Nothobranchius furzeri: one gene and its partners. The main gene of each other region encodes a partner of the protein of the gene in region 4 in a complex. Links are inferred from orthologs where the notes say so. Each region holds a gene or a part of one and is shown on either strand. Other genes may lie near its edges.

Region 1 (3,562 bases), on a different chromosome or scaffold from region 4:
GTTGTATGAACTATTCGACTAGTTGACTTCACTGCTCTGTAGTGACTTTATGCCTTTCAAAGACTAGTCGCTGTCACGTGATAATGACAGACAAGATGCAGTCCTCGGAAAAGACAGCAGGTGACCAGCCCCTGCGTGTTGGGAGGCGACGCGCTGTGCCACCGCGTCGTATCTGACTCCCGCGGAAAAACAGACATTTGACCAAATTGTGACCTTTACCCTCTTGCAATTTAACCTTCCCCTCACCCCCATCCTAACCTTAACCAGCTTGTGCATGCAAAGCTCTGATCGTTGACACGCTTCAGACATCTGCATCCTGAGCACGGCCACAGTAACATTATCAAATTAGGTGTCGCCACCTCAAAAACTAATTTAACACGCGATCGTTCATGTTGGCTCATTTCCTTTTATGTTTGAAGCAGGGGAACAGTAAAGATGCAGAAACTACCATTGTGTTTAACGTTGCAAATGTGGGGGCAATTTTAATTGTCAAAAACTCCAGCGAACCAACCCACTTCAGGTGTATGACGTCATCAACGACTAGTCAAAGTCGACTCGATTTTAATTACTTGACTTAAAAAAGTTAAGTCATGCAGCCCGTACTCCACATTCAGTGTTACTGCAAAATTAAGTTTGTTTCCAAATGAAAAGGTTCAACCGTTCATATCTGTAGTAAAGGCAAATGTGCACATTTGCAGTCACTTTTGAAAAAATATTGAGTTTGGCCCGCAACTTCGTCCCAGTTTTTCATTTTGGCCCAGAGCAAATTTGAGTTCGACACCCCTGCCTTAAGCTGGGTTTATGCTTGACACATTCACTTTCCGCTTGGTGATGCGGCTCGCGGCTGGAACGCGCTTCACAACTCTCAGCATTTATGGTTCATGCGGCTTGTCTCTGTGGTGAGCCAATATTCTCCCAAGCTGTAGGGGGCAGCATGGAGCTCTATGGCATGCATCCAACACTACACCATAGTAGAAGTAAAAATTACTGTTTACAACATGGCATTCCAGCAATTTTAACAGCGTCCTCGTCTTTTCCAACAGTGCGAGCTATTTCTCTCCAAGAATTATTAACATGTTGATCATGGCGATCTCTGAGAGCTGAATCATACAAATGTCTGTATTTACAAACCTCTGCCATACTAGTTCTTGCCAGTCCGCGATGTTTTTCCGCGTCCGACCGTCCGCGTGGTTAGAAAATTTCCTAGGTGCGCGGTGCGGAAATTTTGGGCCGTGCGGAGGTGCGGTGGAGGGGTGTGGTTGTTAAAATGACGCAATTTAGCCGCGCGGACCTCACGGACGCGTCAAGCATAAACCAATCTTTAGTATACCTCCCTGGTTGGAAGGTAGGCCCTTTGACATAATCTGGGACTTTCAGGGAGGACGTAGAGCACTCACTGCTGACGTAGCTCAGACCTTAGTGGAAACACAACAAACCAGGAGGAAAAGTAATGTTGTGCTTTTTGGCCACGTATTTGAAATGTGTCTTTATTGGGAAGTAAGCTCAGATAAATGTCTAAAATGATCCTACAGGTGTGTATAGCTGAACCCCACCCAGTAAGCCAGACCCACACCACCACTCTAGCGCTGTACGTGATGAGATGTTGAGAACATCCAGTGAACCTGTTCTGTGTGTGTGTCCAGATGTCTGAGCCCTGCTCCCACTGCCCTTGTGCCTCAGCCAAAGATGGTGTGAAGGACAAAGATGGCAAAAAGAAGATTCCAAAGATTTTCTTTGGCACACGCACCCATAAACAGATTACTCAGATTGCACATGAGCTGAAGCGCACAGCGTACTCCAGCGTACAGATGACCATCTTGTCCAGCAGAAAGCACACCTGTGTTCATTCAGATGTGGTACCTCACTTCAACCGCAACGAGCTGTGCAAGGAGCTGCTGGAGGACAAAGAGGTGAGGAACGGACACACACACACACACACACACACACACACACACACACACACAAAACATCATGTGAAAAACAACAAAGATTCATCAGGAAGTGTGGGACATGCAGTTACTGACACACCTAACACTGAGGAGAGTCACATAATGAACACATAGCCTCAGAGAAGCAATTATACACAATTGGTTGACAGAACTTTTTTGACACTCTAGAATATCAAGGACCATTTTTGGAGATGTGATACACTTGTAACCTCCTATAATGTCCTGAAGTTCGGGCGCCTACTGTAATATAGACAATTATGTTGTCATTAGAGGTGTTAGCCTCCCATAGCAATCATCTCACTTTTGTCATGAAAAGCTGCCCTCGAAATAACCCCCCCCCCCCCCCCCCCCCCACACACACACACATAAGCAGGTGTCACTGACACCCTGAGTGTGTGTGTGTGTGTGTGTGTGTGTGTGTGACCTAAGGGTCTGGTTCAGTCATTGTCAGGTTATGCTGCAGTACTGACTCTGATGCACAGAGAAACTGCTCCTAACACAACAGCTTCCTGGACACTTTGGTCAGAGTTGTTCTGAGGGTAGCTGGAGGCCTTAACACCCCCCCACCCTCCCACACACACACCCCTACCCTCAAAACAGCTGTGTGACTCTGCCACCAGGGCTTGGTGTCTATGAAAGGTCCATGCTTAGCACAGCTCGAAGAGAAGAGGACCATATTATCCACAGATGATTGCTTTGTCTGTAGCCGGGTCCACCTATGTGAAGTGTTTTTGTGACAGTGTCACCTTAAGCTGTTAAAGTCACAAAGAACAGGGTGGGACATCTAAGAGGACACGTCTACTTGTAGTAGTCAGGACTAGCTGCAGGATAGGCTACATGCACCGTATCAATGTCTGAACGTGTAAGCTGTACACGGAAAAATACATAAAATACTTTAAAATAAAAACTCAGTTATTTTTGTTTTAATGTTAATAGTTAATAATTAATATGCTGTATTGTTGTATGGTCATAAAGCCAGCCTGATAAAACTGGGCTTCCAGATGTTTCCAATGCTCAAGTGTGATGAGCAGATGATCAGCTGTAGAAGATGAGTCGTAGCTCTGCTTTTGACTTTGCCACATTGACCAGGGTCATAGTAATAAAATGTTTAAACTTACAGATATGTGTAAAAAGTGTTTTTGATGGTTCCATGCAGTAGAAGGTCATTGTGAGTTCTGTTTATAGTTTCTGAGTGGGAGAAGTTCACTCTGAGTCCAGAATGTCTGCAACTAAAATATTTGTAGCATTATTAGATGACAAGAGGCCCAAACACTGGGAATATTTAATATTTGGGTCAACTTCTTGTAATTGTCAGTAAAAAACCTTTGAAACCTCGAGTGGTTCTACTCCAGTAACCATAGAAACATCTGGCGGAAAATTAAACAAACTTTGAAACCAGAGTTTCTTAACCTTTGACCACCTTTGTAGACCCACACATTTTATTAAGATATAAACCAGTTTTGGCAAATTGGTTTAACATCACCACTTCTCTGAATGAAGCTGTTAAATGTGTGCCTTACAGGGGCGCTCGTGTCGCTACTACCATGGAGTCAAAAAGATGGGAACTCAGCATTTACTGCAGTCAGTCCATGGACTGTGTGGAGCATGGGACG
Region 2 (3,889 bases), on a different chromosome or scaffold from region 4:
GACCTGTGACCTAGGCTGCCCTGGTACCAAGTGTACCGGTGGGCATCCTTATGTTCGAACATGGTGTTCGTTATGGCCAAACTGCGGCTTGCACAGAAGTCCAATAACAAAACACCGCTCGAGTTCAGATTAGGTGGGCCGTTCCTCCCAATCACACCCCTCCAGGTCAAGCTGTCATTGCCCACGTGAGCATTGAAGTCCCCCAGCAGGACAATGGAGTCCCCTGATGGAGCACTATCTAGCACTCGTCCCAGGGACTCCAAAAAGGGTGGGTACTCTGAACTGATATTTGGCCCATAAGCACAAACAACAGTCAGGACCCGTTCTCCGACCCGAAGGCGCAAGGAAGCTACCCTCTTGTCCCCCGGGGTAAACCCCAACACACAGGCAGAGAGTCTCTGGGCTAACAAAAAGCCAACCCCAGCCCTCCGCCTCTCACCCGGAGCAACTCCAGCAAAGTAGAGTGTCCAACCCCTCTCCAGGTCTCGGGTCCCAGAGCCAATGCAATGTGTCGAGGTGAGTTCGACTATATCTAGCCGGTACCACTCAACCTCTGCCACAAGCTCCGGCTCCTTCCCCGCCAGCGAGGTGACGTTCCATGTCCCAAAAACTAGTTTTCTTGTCCGGGGATTGGACCGCCAAGGCTCCCGCCTTGGTCTGCCACCCGATTCGCATTGCACCGGACCCTTCATGTTCCTCCTGCGGGTGGTGGGTCCACAGTTGGACGAGCCCATGTATCCGGTTCGGGCTGGGCCCGGCCGGGCCCCATGGGCGAAAGCCCGGCCACCAGGCGCTCGCTCACGGGCCCCAACCCCAGGCCTGGCTCCAGGGTGGGACCCCGGTAACCCTCCGGGCCGGGTACTCCGACTCTTCGTTTTAACCGCCATGAAAGATCCTTCGAACCGTTCTTTGTCTCACCCTTCACCTAAGACCAATTTGTCATGGGAGACCCTACCAGGGGCACTAAGTGCCCCAGACAACATAGCTCCTAGGATCATTAGGGCACTCAAACTCCTCCACCACGATAAGGTGACGGTTCAAGGAGGAGAAAATCTAACTAATTACTGTAGCTTACAATTAAATGTGTTAATGAAAGATTAAATGCTTTGTGGAGTGAAATAACAGGAATTTCTCGGCCAAACCCATCTTATTTCATAGACACATCTTTGGCGTTTATAACAAATTAAGCCTTTTGAAAATCGGTTGAAAATTGAGCAAGTTAGAGTTGCTTGAGAAAGGGGGGCAGCGGTCTGAGGTAAGATGGCCGCCACGTTCCTACGTCGCATCCCATTGACGAACAGTGGGGACGAGGCATCTAGTGTTTATACATACATATCTATGCCGGAGCCGATCTGGTACCGACAACGGATCTACGTCACCGGGTCACGTGATCAACAAAGCTTTTCCCGCCAACACCGTTCGGTCTTCACGGAGGAGAAACGGATAAGTTTTCTGATCGAGAGTTCGGGATGTTCTGCGAGAAGGCCATGGAGATGATCCGGGAGCTGCACCGGATGAGCGACGGACAGCTGCCCGCTTTCAACGTGAGGAACGCGGGTAACGGTCGCAGCAGCTGACTCCGTGTACAGCCAAGCTGGTTTAAGGTTGTTCAGATGTTGCCAACAGAAGCAGAAGTCTTAAGAACCAGTAGACCAAAGGATAGCTTAAACGGAACACCGGCTACAGTTCGGCTCTGATTTAACCCGGTAGCATGCTGTTCTACTGTTCCTTAAACCAGAACCCACATGCTGGCTCTGTTTCAGGAGGACGGGCTGCGCCAGGTTCTACAGGAGATGGAGGCTCTGTACGAACAGAACCAAGCTGACGTGTGAGTTCAGGCTGCTTCTGGTTCTAGGGTTCGGTGGACCGACATCTGAACGCTACTAAACTGTAAAAGATCAAAAAGATGCGGCTTCAACCACAGAGTTCGGGTTCTGGTTTTGTTTATCTACAGAAACCCTCCTCATATACTGAGGCCTCTCCTGTTTGACCTGACCTCTGACCCCACATCACCTGTAGAGAAAAGGTCAAACTGGTTCAAGAGCCTTTTCATGCATGAAGGATGAGGGGTCCAGAGGTCAGATACTGGTTCTGGACTGGCCTGAGTCCAGATGACCCGTATGTGACCTTACAGTAAGTCAGCTGATCTTCTGTTTCAGGAACGAGGCCAAGTCCTTCGGGCGCTCAGACCTCATCCCCTCCATCAAACTGCGTCACTGCTGCCTGCTGAGGAACCAGCGCTGCATCACTGCCTACCTGTAACTCCGCCCACAGTCATGTGACCAGCCTCACCTGCAGTCACTACGGTTTTTTTTACCGTTTGTTGTTTACAGGTACGACCGCCTGCTGAGGATCAGAGCGCTGAGATGGGAGTACGGCAGCGTTCTACCCGCCAACGTTCGCTTCCACATGTCTGCAGAGGAGGTCGGTGTGACATCACCTCCTGTTTTAGACTTCCTGTTGCTGCTTCACATAGAAAGCAAACTTTTCAATTCCTTGAAACTTTTATTTTGAAAGTGTCAGTGTTGTATTAGAACAGCTCAGTGTGTGTGTGTGTGTTGCTTTCAGGTGCAGTGGTTTGGTCAGTATAAAAAGTCTCTTGCTTCCTTCATGCGTTCCCTTGGTGAGGGGGAGGGGCTTGACATCACACAGGACATCAAGCCTCCAAAGAGTCTCTACATCCAGGTGAGTCACACCTGCCTGACCTCTGACCTACGGTCTGTCCTCATCATGCTGATGTCATGTTTGTTTCCAGGTGAGGTGTCTTAAGGACCATGGAGAGTTTGAGATCGAGGATGGAACGGTGATCTTGCTGAAGAAGAACAGCCAGGTCAGAATAGGATGCAGTTTGGATGAACACTCACTCACACACACACACACACACACGATTGGGCCGACAGCATGACATCAGAACCAGACCGTCCTCACAGCCTCAACAGGAAGCTCAGGATCAGGTGTATTGATTACCTGATCACCAGCAGCAGGAGCTCTCTGGAGCATACAGGTGTGTGTTGACATGTAGAGGAAGCAGCTGTGGATCTGGGATGGACCCACACTCACATTATTCCCAGGAGATGAATCCTGTGGCCCGTGTGTGTGTGTGCGTGTGTGCATGTGACGTGAAGCCTTAGAACGCAGCAGCTCACAGGAAGTTGTGTTTGTGTTCTCAGCACTTCCTGCCTCGGTGGAAATGTGAGCAGCTGATTCGCCAGGGCGTCTTGGAGCACGTGGTGTCGTGACGAGAGAAGATTGTGTGTGTGTGTGTGTGTGTGTGTGTGTGTGTGTGTGTGTGTGTGTGTGGTCACAACAAATAAAAGTGTTGTACCCATTCTGTGGCCTCTGTTGTGTCTCTGTGGTCCTGGAAGTGAAGAAACTCACGTGTCAGGTGCCATAGAAAGATGACAAGCAGCTGATAAAAACATAATGAGTCACACTTTGGTCCACAGGTGAGCTTTGGTGTGTTGCACCTGAACAGGTGAGAAATAGAGCAGCAAACACACTGATGCTGCCTGCTGTAACGTCCAGAAATGGTCAGTTTTCACCTACATATTGACCGACACAATGTCCGGTCACCTACAGACCTAATTCCACTATCTGAGTGGAGTTTCTATCCTGCCTTCTAAAGCCCAGAAGATTCTGAAGCCCTTGTTGACATTCAGGGGGAACAAGATGCCAGCCTATGTTCCCAAACAAAGCCTTCTTTTGATAAGACCACAGGATTGCTCACTCTCATGAAATAACTTTTACAACTCGTAAGTTAAAAAATAATATGGTTGAATGAACAAATGTTATATGTATAATAATGTTGATGTTTGAATAATCGGTGCCTAATTCAATGACACATTTGTCATTTTAATATGACACATTTTGATGTCATGATTAGTAATGT
Region 3 (4,234 bases), on a different chromosome or scaffold from region 4:
TGCATAATCTAGAGTATGAATTTTAAAGTGTGTTTTCATTTGTTTTTCCAGACTTGCTACACTTTCAGAGTAGTTTACTAGTAGTGAAGGTGAGATACTGTGCTGTCCGATACTAACGTGTCTAACAAGCTGTAGCTTGATGGTCATGATTCTGAAGGTGGCTGTGTCCCTGTGAGTGTTACCAAAATGTGATTTAAAAGATAAATATTATTTTTGTATTTTAGAATGGGAGTGTACAAATTGTAAAATTTTATTCTTGTTGCTATTAATTAGAAGTTTTTTTTAATCCCTGTTTTATATGGGGCTCCCAGTGCTTGTATATACAGTATCTCTACAAGCAAGAGCCATTACTTTTAATTTATATAGAGGAAAAGTCCTTTATATATACACGTGATTTCTGTTTTAATCTGGATTATTCGTAACAAAATTACACCAGCTGTGCAGATTTAAAATATTATAAATTAAAACAACAAATTTGGGAGACCCGAAATACATGACTGTGATCCAATGAAAAAGGTTTTCTTATGCAGAAAATGTGAGATAAAACATGCTGATGATTTCCCTCTCTGTACATTGTAACTAATTCAACTGTTGATTTTATATGTTTTGTAACTAATCAAAATAAATGATTTAATCATCAAAATGCATGGCATTTTTTTTTTCAAAAGCAAGTCAGTAGTAGCTCTTCAGATTTTGATTTAAATATGAAAAGGATACATGATCTCTTTATTGCAGTTTCTGTTTACAAATCAGCATGCACCATGTCATACAAAGTTTTTGTAATGTAGGCCTGCTGAAAACAAAATATCTTCAAAGACCATTTGTTTATCACAGATTTCAGAAATTTGAATTTTTAGCTGATGGCAATATTTCATAAATTAACAAGTACATTTTAATTAACCCTTTGATGCATAATGGTCACTACAGTGGACAGGTACTCAAAATTGTTATTTATTTGTTTTGCTATAAAGCACAGCTGTTGAAGACTATTGCATTTGAGCCCCTCCATTTAGACTTCAGCAAGTCAAGCCAACATCATGTTCAGAATGCATGCTGTCCACTAAGGTGGACACGTAATAAATTATTTGTAAATTATTAAATGTTTCAAAAACATTTGTTGAAATTTGTTTCATTCACACCTAAAGATTAATGAAAAAGACTGTTAAAAAACATGGTTGAAGGTTTCATAATTCATAATGCATCAAAGGGTTAAGAGGAAGTCGGGGAAAAACAAAAGTATAAAATGCGTTTTCTGATGTTTGAATAGTTACAAATTCTATACATATAATTATAATTAGTTCATTATATTGAATTTATTTAAAAAACGTGATATCAAAGTATATATTTATGTTGAAAGTGCTGAAAGTACGTGTTTCTGTAGCCGCATGAAAGCTTTTTTTAACTCATTTTGACTATCCGCAACTTTATTGTTCATCCAATTGCAGACAACAACAACGAAACAACGGTTTGACGCTATCCTCTTTGAAATGGCGCTGAGGTAGTTAAAGGCGCACTTTCTGCGTGTTACTTTCCTCTTTTAGCTCTCTTCAGGTTTTAGTTTTTGTGCCAGTGCTATTGTCTAAACACGACCTTCGTTTTTGAGCATCATTCAGTTCATAAACAAAAATGTGTTGAAGTAAATTGCTAAAAATTGACGTCGCATAATAAGGCCGCGGTAGCCCCCGAGCTTGCGTAGAGATTACAGCCGCTTTTCAGTGTTTGGCCTAGACGCAGAGCAGCAGCGGTTTGGTGAGTGGCAATCGGCTAGGGTTGAGTTACCCATCTTAGCTTAGCTAGAATTACCTCACAGTATTAGCTTCATAAAATACGTCTTTCAAATATACTATTTAAAGCTAACTGTTCAAGTTTGCATCTGGACAATTGTTATTGGATAGCTATCTGCGCGGCTAATGCTAGCTTGCGCTCAAAGTGTAGCCGAGCACGGTGTGTTTACAAACAGCAAGCTAACCTTACAACTTGCGACGTTGTAGCATTATAAGCAGAAGCGAATTAGCTTCAGACATATTCTGCAAATACCACGATAACAGAAATCTTACTATGTAATTAGTTAATTTATGCAAAAGCTTTACCATTGATGGCGCTTTATTCTAAGCTACAAACAGCCAACAAGTTTCGTGCTCAGCTGAGAGCTAGATTACTGAATCTGAAAGTTTTAACCCACTTACGTCTCAAAGTGGTGTATGTGTGTTTTTACTGTAATCATGAGTGATGACCACCTCCTAATATTGTTCTCTTGTGTTTGTGTTTTAATAGTCATTCAAGTGAATCCAGTATATAATATTATCAGGAGTTCACCAACAGCAATTTTACATCTGCATTAACATTTGTACACACACCTAAAGTCAACATGGCATCAGTCCCACTGTACTGCTTGTGTCGCCTTCCCTATGATGTGACACGCTTCATGATCGAATGTGACAATTGTCAGGACTGGTTTCATGGAAGGTAATATGTTGTTTTTATTTATTTTGTAGACTAAAATTTACTGGCATGTTTTTCAGTTATGTATTCGTAATTTGATTTCCATAGGTAAAATAGGTTTTGAACTTACTGGACATGATTGATTTAATCTGCCCTGTATTATTTGTACAGTTGTGTCGGAGTAGAGGAGAACAAAGCAGTTGAGATTGACTTGTATCACTGCCCCAACTGTCAGGTCACCCATGGGCCATCAGTTAGTAAGTCCTTTTATTTGGTTAAAAAGAGACTTAAAAATATTGTCACTTCCAGGCATTTGTATTTCTACAACTTGGCTATCAATTTGTCACAGGATTTATACGTGCTAAGCACACATTTTTGAACTTGTTATGCTGCTGTTACTTTCGTCTTTAACTGTGCACATGTTAATTGTTTTCTCAGTGCGCAAACGACGTGGAGCCAATAAGCAGACAGATGGAAGCACTAGTGTAGGAAGAGATCCAAGTCGACCTGTTAAGACGGGGAGTCCACAGTTTGTTAGGGAGCTTCGAAGTCGTACCTTCCCAAGGTAAGAACCATGTCTGGCAACAAATGAATAAGTAAAAAATATCACTATAATGTCAGTGTGGTGTGCTAGTTCTAGTAAACATCACACTCCATTTTAACATTTGAAATGGAGTAAAAACATAAAATACACTTTCTGTTATTGCCATTGCATTAGATTTCACTGATGTTGCTTTTATAACTATTACCGTGTTTTTTATTTTTTTATGGATAAGCTTTATTGTCACATTTCTAAATATGTCATGTTTTCTTGTGTCTGTGTCATGATCGCAGCGCGGATGAAATCTTGCTCAAGCCATCTGGGGCGCAGCTGACAGTCGAGTTTCTGGAAGAACATTCATTCAGCGTTCCTGTTATGGTGCTGAGGCGGGATGGCTTAGGCATGACCCTTCCTCCGTCATCATTCAGTGTCAGTGACATAGAGCACTGCATTGGTACGGTTTCAGTCTGTTAAACCCATGATTTGGATACATTGAGTTTTATCATGTTATCTTGTTTTATCAGCTTCATACACAAAGTAGTGCACAAACGTTTTGAGCCAACTCTTAATCCTTGTACTTTAAACTAGCCACACAGCTTTTTGGAATTTTGGAAGAGTTCTTGAGCAAATTTTAGATTTTGCATGTTGCCCTCACTCATCTCCCGGGTTTCCTCCTGATACCCTGGAAACATGCACGTCTGGTGATTGACTGCATTGTAAAATGAATCATATGTAAATTAAGGCATCTACCAAATACATTAATAAACACAGCTAGGTAACAAAGAGCGTTTCGAAAAGTTTTAAGACCACTTTCAAAGACTGCACAAAAGTTTGTCTTTTTTGAATTTATTACAATGAAATAAAGCATGGCCCAAGAAATTTTTCTTAAATGAATGAGAATGCAAGTTTTTTTTTTTTTTTTTTTTTTAACTTTCTGGAGTTCAATATGACTAACAAAATTACTCTGTTAAAAATATCAATGGCAGGTACAGATAAAGAGATCGACGTCATCGATGTGTCTCGACAATGTGATCTAAAGATGCGTCTGGGAGACTTTGTTGAGTACTACAACAGCCCTAACAGGGAGAAAGTGCTTAATGTCATCAGCTTGGAGTTTTCTGACACCAGGTATAGAAATCTAAACAGAGGAGTATCTCCTAGTCTTGGCAGTGTATTCATGGATGTGATCTGTTGGACTTGTCTCAGGCTCTCAAACTTGGTGGAGACTCCCAAGATTGTGAGAAAACTTTC
Region 4 (3,562 bases):
ACTCGACCCAGCAGGAAGGCCTGTTTGCCGGCAGGTCCTTCCTCCTTGTGGGTTTCGATCCTGAAGCCGAGGCGCAGTTCTCCGTGCTGGTTTCAGAACGAGGAGGCAAGGTACTGCCGGCCCGCACTCGAGCGGTGGCGGACTACGCCGTGGTTCCGCTGCTGGGCCGCTCGGTGGAGGCCACGGTGGACGAGGTCGTCACGGATACATGGCTGGTAGCAAAGGAACAAAAACTTTTATTTCTTTTGAGACTTTGGCATTTTTTATATTAAAGTTTTCCTGTTGTTGATTTCAGGCCATGTGTGTGGAGAAGGAGTGTGTTCTACGTCTGTCCGCCAACCCTTTGTTTGTCCCCGTCCCTGTGAGGGAGGGACATTTTCCTCTAAAGGACTGCGTCCTCTCCGTCAGCCAGTTTACTGGAGCAGAGAGGGAGTCCCTGGTGGAGCTCGCCAAGTACCTCGGAGCAAAGTACGACCACTACCTGCTCGTTGTTTTCTGAGTTTAACCTGATGCATCATAGATCTGAAATGGGACATTTGCCTCATTGCTTCATAAACGAATCACTGATGACCCCCCCCCCCCCCCCCCCCCCCCCCCCGCTGTAGTGTGCAGGATTATTTTGTGCGCCTGGCCAACCAGAAGAAAGGGATGCTGGCCAGCACTCACCTGGTGTTGCAGACTCCTGAAGGCACAAAGTACCAGGCAGCAAAGAAGTGGGGGCTCCCTGCTGTCACCATGCACTGGATTCTGGAATCCGCTCGTACGGGCAAGAGGGCGGCGGAGGAGAAGTACCTGGTTGACCTACCTCCTTCTCCAGGTTTTTCTCTTATTTATTTATTTTTTTGGTTCGTTTGAGAACAAAACCTGTCTTTGCTTTCCCAACACCTCAAATGTCCCTCGTTTGTAGAGAGAGATGAAGAGAGCTTTGTGGGCGGCTCCCAGAAACCCATCCTGCCTCCGCCGCGTCCACGTTCCCCTGAAATCCCTCTGCTGGGTCCGCAGGGCGGGAAAGCCGTCACCCCGCTAGACCTGGGCCGCTTCCAAAGCAAAGTGTTTCGCTCCGTGCTGGATGAGATGAAACCCGAACAAAACCAGGAGGACAGTAGAAGGAGGCGGCCTCAGAAGGAGCCTCCTCTGCAGCTGGACACGCCATCTCGGTTCCTGAGCAGAGATCAGCTCTTCAGACCGTCGTTTAACGTCGCGGTCAGACAGCAGCAGACATCCACACCGAACATTCCAAACTACAACATGTCATAGGCTGGGTTTTATTTTTGTAGGATGCACTGGGAGCTTTGGAAACGCCTGGTGGGCGATCAAAGCCAGGAGAGAAGGTGGAGACGCCGCTGACTGATGTCATCAACCGGAATCTGAAGGTGGCTCTGGCCAACAGCTCACGTGGGAACATGTCAGACCTCCAGGCCGTCACCGCCAGCCCACAGCTGGCCAAGACGACAGAGAAGGAGGTAAATATGTCCTAAACCTGCTTTTGGTTCTGCTCTTGAAAAGGTTGGAGTTTCTCTTTCAGCACCTGTAACTAATATAAATGTGATTCATCATCATTTTATCCCAAAGGCTCCAGAAGCAGCAGCCAGACCTCTGACTGGTGTTGTGATCTGTGTGGCGAAGAAGCTCAGCAAAATGCAGAGCGAACTAAACGCTGTTGCTGCCTCGCTGGGAGCTGACTTCAGGTGCTCGGCCTTCTGGGAGTTTTTAGTTACTAACCTGATGGATGTTTCTGTTTTAAACAATATAAACAAATGGGGCTACACTGGGACTATTACTGGGATAACCAGATCGTTCAAAAACACCTTTGTTTTTCAGATGGGCTTGTGATGACACGGTGACCCACTACATCTACCAGGGTCGAGTGGGGGACAGCTCCAGGGAGTACAGAGGGGTGAAGGAGAGAGGGCTGCATGTGGTATCTCAGTACTGGCTGCACGCTGTGAGTCTCAAAAATGTTTAAAGTCGGCTTTATTCAGTAAAGTTTTGTAAAAGTCTAATTTCTGTGTACAGATTTTTGATTTTGACACAAATAAAACACTCGTGTGTGTGCGTGTGTGTGCGTGTTTGCGTGCGTTCAGTGTGCCGAGGAGCAGAAGCACGTCTCAGAGTCTCTGTATCCGTTCACCTACAACCCCAAGATGAGCCTAAACCTGAGCCAGGTGCCCAGCAGCTCCCAGAAGTCTCCGCCTTTCCCACGAACACGGCTCCGAGACAAACTTGACAAGGTAGCATTGGTCTAGTGTTGCAACTGATGTTTTCCATCTCATGTCTGACGGTTCTGTTTGTCCCGTCAGTCTGAGCTCCCCGCTGCAGGAGCAACCTCAGCTGTGAGTAACGGAGGCGACGATCACGATGAGAAGAGAGGTGACGTGTGTCCGTCTTCTAGCTGCTTCTGCGTTTATGACGAACCACGAGGTAACAGAGGCCGTTTCACGTTTCAGACATGCTGGAAATGGGGGAGACCCTGCAACGACAGCTGCAGGAGATCATGTCCGCCACCAAGATAACGACGGGCAGACGCACGTCTGTGAGACTGGCTAGAATGGGATCAGGAGGTGCTGATTCTGGTCCGAACACACCCGACGTGAGCCGAGCCAGCCGCGGCGGGAGCAGACGGACCCTGGAAGCTCTCAGGTGGCTTTCTGTTGAAGCTAATTAAGATATTTCTATGTGAAACTTTAGTGTTTACATATTTTCCCCCCAGAGTTTCCAGAGAAGCAGCCCTGGACATCAACACGGAGCCGTCTCAGAGCGAGCAGATCGTCTGGGATGACCCAACGGCCCGGGAGGAGCGGGCGAAGCTGGCGGATAACTTCCAGTGGCCTGGAAGTCCGTCGCAACACTCCGAACCTCTCACGGCTGCTGCTGCACCTGCACCCCCTCCCTCCGCAGAGACCAGATCACAGTTGAAGGACTCCATGACGGACTCGGAGCTGGTGGAGATCGGTAAGATCCGTGAGACATACACAGAACTAAAGAACTGAGTGTTTCATTAGTTTTCCAGCTTATTGAAGCTTCATGTAATGTTTGATACGAAGCAACGTTTTCACGTTTTACCGGTTTCTAAAAGCTGAGGTCTTGTTTACAGTAATGCAGCTTAAAGATGCATCTCACTGTTCTCACACAGCTGCTTGTGAGGTTATTAACCAGCAGCTGGGTCAGAAGGTCATGACCCCTCCACCAGAGGAACCAGAGGAAGACATCCTCACTCCTAGAGCTCCTAGCATCGCCTTTCCCCTCACTAAACCAGCAGGAGCTCCGGAGCATCAGGACGAGACAAGAGAAGAAAAGCAGCCTCCCAGATTCCAGCTGTCCTCCCTCAGTCCTCAGGAGCGCATCGATTACAGCCAGCTGATAGAGGAGCTGGGTGAGTCCCTCAGAGCTCCAACCTGGTCACAGAAACCAAAAGCAGGAGATGGAATATGATTTTTATTTTAGCTTGGTCTAGTTCGTGTCTCCTGACCAGGTCCAGTGTGTCTTAGTCTCTCTGTTCTTTGTCCTACTTTAGGTGGTGTTGTCCTGGACAAGCAGTCCTTCGACCCCAGCTGCTCCCACA

The links.
Region 1: the proteins of topbp1 (region 4) and brip1 are in contact, whole or in part, in a crystal structure (PDB 3AL3), measured with the Homo sapiens proteins. The link is inferred for Nothobranchius furzeri from reciprocal best matches to the Homo sapiens genes TOPBP1 and BRIP1. Residues at the interface, in NP_008958.2 of Homo sapiens: Leu1272, Ser1273, Ser1274, Leu1275, Asn1276, Pro1277, Arg1280, Gln1298, His1311, Leu1313, Arg1314, Asn1315, Glu1316, Lys1317, Leu1319, Gln1366, Arg1407, Gly1410, Phe1411, Leu1414, Thr1466, Glu1467, Ile1469, Ala1470; in NP_114432.2 of Homo sapiens: Ser1129, Tyr1131, Phe1132, Thr1133, Pro1134, Glu1135, Leu1136, Tyr1137, Asp1138.
Region 2: the proteins of topbp1 (region 4) and gins1 are in contact, whole or in part, in a cryo-EM structure (PDB 8OK2), measured with the Homo sapiens proteins. The link is inferred for Nothobranchius furzeri from reciprocal best matches to the Homo sapiens genes TOPBP1 and GINS1. Residues at the interface, in NP_008958.2 of Homo sapiens: Leu490, Leu491, Ser492, Gln493, Tyr494, Glu495, Asn496, Leu586, Ser587, Arg588, Thr589, Val590, Val596, Cys601, Glu602, Val603, Ala605, Thr606, Val607, Gly608, Val610, Lys629, Pro636, Val637, Pro638, Val639, Met640, Thr641, Arg726; in NP_066545.3 of Homo sapiens: Asn43, Gln44, Val47, Asn48, Lys51, His66, Arg91, Tyr94, Gly95, Ser96, Asn100, Arg103, Phe104, Arg119, Ala122, Met125, Glu132, Gly133, Leu134, Asp135, Thr137, Gln138, Asp139.
Region 3: the proteins of topbp1 (region 4) and phf8 are in contact, whole or in part, in a crystal structure (PDB 7CMZ), measured with the Homo sapiens proteins. The link is inferred for Nothobranchius furzeri from reciprocal best matches to the Homo sapiens genes TOPBP1 and PHF8. Residues at the interface, in NP_008958.2 of Homo sapiens: Gln1298, Cys1299, Arg1314, Asn1315, Glu1316, Leu1319, Arg1369, Ser1406, Arg1407, Gly1410, Phe1411, Arg1413, Leu1414, Arg1465, Thr1466, Glu1467, Ala1470, Asp1471, Gln1475, Asn1483, Tyr1484; in NP_001171825.1 of Homo sapiens: Gly842, Ala843, Cys844, Phe845, Asp847, Ala848, Tyr850, Ile851, Tyr852, Pro853, Ser854, Leu855, Glu856.

The regions. Positions count from the first base shown.
Region 1 is NC_091753.1:22,951,972-22,955,533, forward strand, and holds part of brip1 (Fanconi anemia group J protein), read left to right. Parts: intron 1-1,643; coding exon 1,644-1,910; intron 1,911-3,471; coding exon 3,472-3,562. UniProt on the Homo sapiens protein: DNA-dependent ATPase and 5'-3' DNA helicase required for the maintenance of chromosomal stability. Acts late in the Fanconi anemia pathway, after FANCD2 ubiquitination.
Region 2 is NC_091752.1:47,394,611-47,398,499, forward strand, and holds gins1 (DNA replication complex GINS protein PSF1), read left to right. Parts: upstream 1-1,360; 5' UTR 1,361-1,469; coding exon 1,470-1,544; exon of another isoform or gene 1,545-1,557; intron 1,558-1,763; coding exon 1,764-1,828; intron 1,829-2,159; coding exon 2,160-2,258; intron 2,259-2,333; coding exon 2,334-2,424; intron 2,425-2,568; coding exon 2,569-2,685; intron 2,686-2,755; coding exon 2,756-2,830; intron 2,831-3,170; coding exon 3,171-3,239; 3' UTR 3,240-3,329; downstream 3,330-3,889. UniProt on the Homo sapiens protein: Required for correct functioning of the GINS complex, a complex that plays an essential role in the initiation of DNA replication, and progression of DNA replication forks.
Region 3 is NC_091755.1:27,007,670-27,011,903, reverse strand, and holds the start of phf8 (histone lysine demethylase PHF8), read left to right. Parts: upstream 1-1,419; 5' UTR 1,420-1,498; intron 1,499-1,553; exon of another isoform or gene 1,554-1,749; intron 1,750-2,274; 5' UTR 2,275-2,368; coding exon 2,369-2,466; intron 2,467-2,613; coding exon 2,614-2,699; intron 2,700-2,880; coding exon 2,881-3,007; intron 3,008-3,276; coding exon 3,277-3,437; intron 3,438-3,969; coding exon 3,970-4,111; intron 4,112-4,189; coding exon 4,190-4,234. UniProt on the Homo sapiens protein: Histone lysine demethylase with selectivity for the di- and monomethyl states that plays a key role cell cycle progression, rDNA transcription and brain development.
Region 4 is NC_091747.1:45,081,218-45,084,779, forward strand, and holds part of topbp1 (DNA topoisomerase 2-binding protein 1), read left to right. Parts: coding exon 1-215; intron 216-295; coding exon 296-468; intron 469-605; coding exon 606-817; intron 818-907; coding exon 908-1,203; intron 1,204-1,277; coding exon 1,278-1,463; intron 1,464-1,572; coding exon 1,573-1,688; intron 1,689-1,821; coding exon 1,822-1,945; intron 1,946-2,084; coding exon 2,085-2,231; intron 2,232-2,300; coding exon 2,301-2,370; intron 2,371-2,447; coding exon 2,448-2,640; intron 2,641-2,710; coding exon 2,711-2,952; intron 2,953-3,133; coding exon 3,134-3,373; intron 3,374-3,514; coding exon 3,515-3,562. UniProt on the Homo sapiens protein: Scaffold protein that acts as a key protein-protein adapter in DNA replication and DNA repair. Composed of multiple BRCT domains, which specifically recognize and bind phosphorylated proteins, bringing proteins together into functional combinations.